2 linked regions of the Schizosaccharomyces pombe genome follow. Changing the gene in region 2 together with the main gene of any one other region gives a genetic interaction. Each region holds a gene or a part of one and is shown on either strand. Other genes may lie near its edges.

Evidence for each region. A genetic interaction does not mean that the proteins touch.
Region 1: of abp2 (region 2) and SPOM_SPBC2A9.02, extra expression of one rescues a mutant of the other (dosage rescue), as found in Schizosaccharomyces pombe (one study listed by BioGRID).

Annotation. Positions count from the first base shown.
Region 1 is NC_003423.3:2,946,484-2,950,245, forward strand, and holds the start of SPOM_SPBC2A9.02 (NAD-dependent epimerase/dehydratase family protein), read left to right. Parts: upstream 1-2,108; 5' UTR 2,109-2,164; coding exon 2,165-3,052; 3' UTR 3,053-3,762. Other genes in the region: HOPS/CORVET complex subunit, vacuolar sorting protein Vps33, read right to left, coding at 1-495, 541-597.
Region 2 is NC_003423.3:4,128,965-4,132,726, reverse strand, and holds the start of abp2 (ARS-binding protein Abp2), read right to left. Parts: upstream 1,863-3,762; 5' UTR 1,026-1,862; coding exon 1-1,025. UniProt on the Schizosaccharomyces pombe protein: Binds, preferentially, to the Maundrell ARS consensus sequence within ARS3002.

The sequences.
Region 1 (3,762 bases), 1.2 Mb from region 2:
CATTTTTGCAGCATAGGGGCCCCTCCCAGAGACTCGAGGAAACCGTCCATGAGTGCGTTCAAAATCAATTAAAGCATCTGTACTTCGTTGAAGTAAGCTTTCTTCCAATTTCTCTGGACCAAGTTCTAATGACAAAAGGTCCTTGTCCAAGGGTACGGCATGTAACGGCCATTCAGTCACAAGTAATTCTCCAAACACACCCTCCTCTTGCAGTACCGTCTCAAAGAGGATATTTGAGGTAGGCAAAACAATTACTGTGCTCTCAATGCGTAACATATCCCTTTGAAATTGACGAACATGAGTAGCAACTAGTTTGGCATTTTCATAAGTTGGTCTGCACAAGTAGATTGTCTTTTTCTCAATATCATTTGGAATATTTTCATTAAACCAATAAACCTGAGGTATTCCATGTTCTTGTAAAGTATTGGTAGTAACTATTTGACCTAAAATTCCTGACAGATCACGTTCCAAGAGCAAACTTTTTTTCCCAGTAACCTTTAACACATTATCATTAGCATGTCACTTTTCAAATCCACATACACTGTCTATTAAATCTAACAACTTAAATGTAGCTTTTTCTTTAACGTCTGTAGTCATCAAGCCATGAATTGAGTCCACCAACTCTTTAGGACGTCTGCAGTTAAATGGAGGTAGAGGGAAACACTAGAATGACACTTGATTTCACAAAGCAAAACCCTTAGATGTTAATATTACACAACGTAAATAAAATAGAAAAGAACGGAATGATTTTTCCAACAGTTATTGTTAACTTTAAAAGGTATTGCGACTTTAAAACATGTATAGTGAATTAAGAGCTTCTTGACATGCATCGCAATTGTATTTCACTAACAATACTTAATAAAATAAAAACTACTTTATTGATAAAATTAGGAAAATTTTTCATTTCGTTTTTAAGCTAAAAGGTTTTATAGTTTCAAACAAACTAGTTTCTTTTAATTTGCTATTTAAACTTGTTGACAAGGCAAACTGAAAGTAATGTTACAGCACCTAAGTTAGCAAAATCTATTTATTATTCCGTAACTATAGTGTGTGTTGAGTTATCTTGTTTAATTATTGAAGGAATTAACGATTACTACGATGTCATTTGAATAATGTAAAAAATTGTTTCGCCGAGATTTAGTTTTTCTGTAGCATCAGTAAGGTTATCAATGATTGCAAGATTTGTTCATGAACCATAGAGTTTAAAAAAAAAACAATTGAATTGTTTCGTTAACATGTATGTTTTTTGCGCTTGGTGAAAGCTGGCCAAAACACTGTTTTTAATGGTAACGTATATATAACAGAAGAGCTTATACCTCCCACTTGATGTATAGCTTGAGATAAGTAACGAAAACATTATAGCACACTTAATTTTAGCAGTAAATAGTCATATTACTGGAAATCTCATGCAGGAAATTTAGCGCGATCAGCCAGTCGGCTTTCAGGCAACAGAAAATCATCCATACCCATAGATCGCCAAGCGCCGGATGAGTCTATATCGAGCAAATCCAGCAGCACTCATTGTGCTAGATAGACCGTGGAAATGACCAGCAAACACATCTGATTTTATCGAGTATTCTCACCGTTCGTTATAATTCTTAGCGGATTCGTACTCTTTGTATTCATCGCAAAGAGCAAAGAGACCCTGACAGTAAAACCAAAGAAGAGTATAGAAAGAACGAGGCCGTCTATTACAGGTCCATGTTACTAAGGATTACAGATCGTAATATGCTAAAACGTGAGACAACATATATTTCTTCCAATGATCACCTTATACGATTAAATAAAATAGAATATAAATGACCGATCGTCAACAATAGGTTTTTTCATAACGTCCTAGGCGAGGAAACACCAGTTCCTGTTCGATCATTTGCAGCTAAATGCTCCAAGGCCTCATAAATACTATGGTTGGAGACCTAAGGAATCCAGTATTCTGCATGCTCACTTCTTTTTGTTAATTAATATATGCTTGCATCTTTTTTAAATCCTCCATTTGTTCGTTACTGATTAACAAGCTTAGTCATATAGGAAGAATAAACTGTCGCTCTTTTACGTCATGATCGCTTACCTGTGGTCTTTATATATCGTTTAATTTACTTTATACCAATGAGTATGTATTCGTACATAAGGAGGTGATCCGAGAACAGTATCTTCTTAAGCAATTATGCGTATATTTGTAACTGGTGCAGCTGGGTTTATTGGCTCTGAAATAGTGAGACAGCTTCTTGAAGCCGGACATGAAGTGGTTGGTCTGGTGCGCTCAGAAGAAAACGCGGCAAAACTCAGAGCTGCTGGAGGCACACCTTACATTGGTACACTTGAAGATTTGGATACACTGAAAAAAGGAGTAGCGCAATGTGATGGCGTTATTCACACGGCTTTCGTTCACGACTTTAGTATATATCAAGAGGCCTGTAAGCTTGACGCTCGTGTCATTGAAGCTATCGGCGAAGTCCTTAGAGGAACTGAGCGTCCTTTGATTACCACTTCTGTAACCGCTGTGCTTTCTTCCAACGGTAAGTTAGGCACCGAGATAAGTGAAGTTCCCCAACCACCAATTCCACGCCAATTAGGAGAGGTGACAACTCTTAAATTTGCATCTCAAGGAGTACGTGCTTCAATCCTTCGCCTTCCACCTACCGTTCATGGAGCAGGAGATCACGCATTTGTGCCCATGCTCATTAACGTGGCCAAAAATAAAGGTGTTTCTGCTTATATCGGTAATGGTATGAATTGTTGGCCTGCCGTTCATAGAACTGATGCTGCTAATTTGTTTGTATTAGCTCTAGAAAAAGAAACTGCTGGTTCCATTTATCATGCTGTTGCCGAAGAAGGTATTCCGATCAAAGAAATCGCAGGCATGATTGGCAAACGACTTGATATACCTGTCATCTCCGTATCTTCTGAAGAAGCCACCGAACATTTTGGATTTCTTTCCAGCTTTTTGTCTGTTGATAATCCAACTTCAAGTATTCTTACGCAGCAACGTTTAGGTTGGAAGCCTACGCATTCTACACTAATGACTGATTTGGCCAGTGATGCGTACTTTTAAGCTCAGATGGAAGAATAATGTCAACTCAATAATGATTGCTAAGTTCATTCGAAAGGAGGAGTTTGTGCCTTTATGCTTTTGTCAATATTGGAGCATTTTTGCTTGCAAAATATATTACTATATTTGTAGACAGAAGTCCTATATTGATTGATTGTTTAAACATCAATTTAGAGAATATGCTAATATTTGTGTTGGAGTTGCTTTACGTTTTGATTTGATTTTGGTTTATAGATGAATTATTATCCATTTGAAACATTACAGACGCGTGAATATACTAGGCCACTAATAAACTCTAGCCAAAAATGCGAGTTTCTCACTTTTTTTTTGAAAATTGTAAATCTTGCTCTTTTTGTTCGCTTTGCAAAATCCCACTTTTGATACTAATGGTGTTGTGTTGGCTATAAACGTGATTTGACAAATATTGATGACAATGAACCTTCAAATCCACAAAGTACAGTGAAAATTATAGTTGTCACTATGAGATAGGAAATTAATAGGAAAAGAAGCTCTGTAGTACCGAACTAACGTAAAACCCTTCGACCTCAAATACAGTGGTCGGACAGAAACTGCTGTTTTCGTCTAGTGTGCTCGTAGGCATAATATTGTTTATTAGAATTACTTTATTTGCTTTTTTTTATATATTTAAAAAGGTTATAGTAAAACGTTCTTCTGTAATTTCAAATTACGATTACCGACCTGTGGGAGGGCAA
Region 2 (3,762 bases):
TTAATTTTGTTACGAGCTCCTGGCGGACGCCCGCGTTTACGAGGGACTCCTGCTTCATTTTCAACATTTTCCGTTTCTACTTGATTGGTTTGTCGAGACCAAGAATCATTCAACCCGTCACTTTCTTTGGGTGAAGAAACGTCTCGTAAATCATCAGGCCATTGATGCCAGTCAGGATCAATGGAATCAGCAACGCCAACTGCTTCAGCAGTTTGAAAAGCGTGATCATGGTTATGTGAATTGTTGGCTGCGGAAGGTAACTGATGGTCTTCGTCAGGTGGTTCAAACATATTTGGAGGATGTGGGAGAGAATGGTTTTGAGGAGTTGTCTGATGTGCTTGTTGAGAACCTCGTTCAGACATGTGATGGGACGCTCTCATTAAAAGGGATTGAGGGGTAGGGCATTCTTGGGAATCTGCATGAGGGTTTGTGACAAAGCTACCAAGATTGTGAGTGTTGTCGTCTAAACTAGCACTAGCTGAATGAATCCAGTTAGAAGGGGAGGTTGACGTGCGCATTGTGGAGATGGAGGAAGAGTTAACATCTGGATGAGACATTAAGCCTGCACGTAAAGATTTAATAACCAAATCATCAGTTACATTTACATTGCATCGAACTTGAGGTTGGGTTTCAGGAATTTCGAGATAATAAGGATTTGGTTTATTCAGGAGATAATCGAAAAAAGCATCAACATGTGTTTGACTCATCCACCGTTTTAAACGAACAACATACTGTTGTATTTTTTGAGTAGATTGTTCATCTTTTCGTTCCACACCAAGAAAACCCACCAGCTTGGACCAAGAGTTAATTATTTTTTGGTGGTATTGCCGGACAAGGAGAAATAAGACCCAAATCTCAAATTTTTGACCCTCTGATTTAGGAATCATATTGAATGCATTTGCTAATTGCCTCGTGTCAGCACCTGCATACCAGGGATTGCAGCAAAGACAGAATTGGCAGAACTTTTCAGTAATATTATCCGCGCTAACATCATGTCTAGATGGCAACAAGGAATAAAAGTTCATCCTTGATTAATTGCTTTAAAAAACAATAAAAAATGTAAAAAGACAGATAGATAAACGTTGGATTATTAAGTAAACACGACAGAAAGACACAAGCAATGTCGAATAAAGAGATTAACAGTATATAAATATCAGAAAAGATCCAGGGATTTTAATAGAATGTATCAGTTCTTGGAACAGGAAGGAGTTGCTGTCTATAAATTAAACTCCAATCTGTAAATGAACCGATGTTTTTTTTTCCGTACACTAAAAAAAGGGAATGGAGGTAAATAAAGCAAAAAAAACGAAATAAGAGAATGAATGTAACCAAAAAAAAGAAAATATAAGTACAGATGTTAAATTTTGTTTGTTTCTTCTCTAGAAATTAGAGAAGTATTGACATGAAGTAGCTCGTCTACACTATACGAAAAGATGCACAGATTATGAAAACAATTGATCCCCTCCTATGATGAAAAAAGGATGCGGAAGGTATTACAGAAGTTTTTCTTCTTTAAGAAAGAAAATAAGAATGGTGTCCCTAAGCTATATGGCACGTATAGCAAGGGTGTCGAGAAATTTTCGGAAAAAATTGTAAACCCTCCAACAATCGGTTGTATTCACAATTGAAATTAAGAATTGGAAGAGTTTCTCTCACGAAAACCTATTACCTTGGCGTTTAGCTTTTCGAGAAAAAGAAAATTGCACGGTCATACAATTTCGCGATTTTTCAAAAGAAGGATGGCAAAGAAAGATATTTCCAAAGAGGCGAAACCTCTTAAATCTAATTTACAAACGATAAATAAAAAGCGCGAAAAACTTGCACACGAGCAAAAGTCCAATTTATATATTGGAATGGAAGATAGAGTAGAAAATGGGAAACGCGAATAAAGTACTCTTTTTCCTTCATATATTGTGATACCTTGGGCCATCCGACTCAGATAACAAGATGATACCTTTAACCCGTTGTTACCGTAGCACTCGCTGAATCAAGGTACTTAACGACTGTCGGTAAACGGAGTCGTGCGCCGTTTACCGATGAGGGATACGTAATCGCACATTAGGACACCTTCAATCTCCCTATATCTTTTGGATAGATCGAGAAATTGCTAGAGGAAAGATGGAACGGGATTGCATTAAAAAATAGAGGCAATAAATTAAAAATGTTTCAATCAAGAGTTCAAAGATTATTACAGATTTACTACTCATTTCTGTAAAGCAATGGTTATTGCGCTGTCTCGACTGCTGTTATTTACCTGACACACTAGGGGCACACACTAGGGGCACACATTGGCGGCAACCCGAATGGAATACAAAAAATGCAAATTTTGATTTCAATCGACCAATGCTATAAATGAAAAAGACAAATAAAATCGAATCATATAAAAAAACAGAATAAATAATGAGACAGACAGTGGAAATGATCCAGCGGCATCGAGAATTTAAAAAATCGGCTCTTCTCTAATAGTATCTTTTTGCATTTGCAACGGAGCGCATATTACAAATCTAAGGTTGAATACTAATTATTACGAATAATAAGCTATAAAACTATTTTTTTTGGAAATAAACAGCTATTTAGATTAGAGTACATGAGTACTACTGTTAGTAAACAAAACGACATTCACTCTCTATATTTATGGCAAATTTTTAACAGCTAATTTTAACAATTTCTTGAGTTGCCACTCAAAGTATAAAGAGATATGCCTTCTTCGATTTACTTGTTGAAACTACCAATTTAAATAATAGCTGCTAACGGCTTCTAGTGATATTCCTTAAACGGCAATCGCCATTTTAAGGAAGAAAGGCCAATTGGTCGCACTAATAAGGACCTGATTTGAAGCCGCTGTAAAATAGGGTTTTCCCTTTTTTGCTGAGTTCGCGTGAAGGTTGTAGGCGAAATAAAGTGACAATATACATTCAAAATACAGACTTCATTATGGGAACTTTCATTTTCTTTATAGTGGTAGCAGGATAACCTAGCCTTTGTGTATAAGGTGATATCCTTTTACAGAGGTTAGCTATGGATTCTTGTAATACAGCCAAAAGTACGTACATAAATTTTGAGTAAAAAATTCGGGTATGGTTGAAGGAGGCGTAAACGGAAGCATTTTCTTGGCGTTAATTGAACATGTTTCGCACTTTAGTCTTCTTACTATGTCATGAAAAGAGCTATTTTAATTATTGTACGGGGTGGCTTGCTAAATATTGATCTGCTAGATATAAAATTAATAAATAAATAATAAAATAATAAAAAATTTTGTAAAAAGAGAAGCGAAAAACCAAACCGACTTAACTTTTTGTAAATAAATATATTTAATTTTATTTACTTTTGAATTTTTTTTTCAGCCCTATTCAAGATCAATTGACCCCTTTTTTGGCAAAATTTCACCATTGCTGAGATTTCGGCATCAGAAAATTTTCACATACTATGGTGAAAAAAAGAAAACAGTCAAGGCGTAGCATCGCAAATTTGGATTCATACAAGAAAAAAAATCTCGTCAGCAATACGCTTAATAACACCGACTGTAATAAATAATGGTGGTTTAGCACTAATATAATCGTAAGTTAATAAACAATCATCAATTGGATGGCCAAGCCAGAAGAAATCCCAAAAATAAAAAAATTATAAAAAATGATAAATCTATTTTTAATCTCTTAAATTGTTATTGCGGTAGGCCGTTTTTTTGAATGTCAATTGCTCAATCCGTCTTTTCCACTATTTGGGTTCATCCCTTGGTAGCGGCTACTTAATATGCTTCTAGGT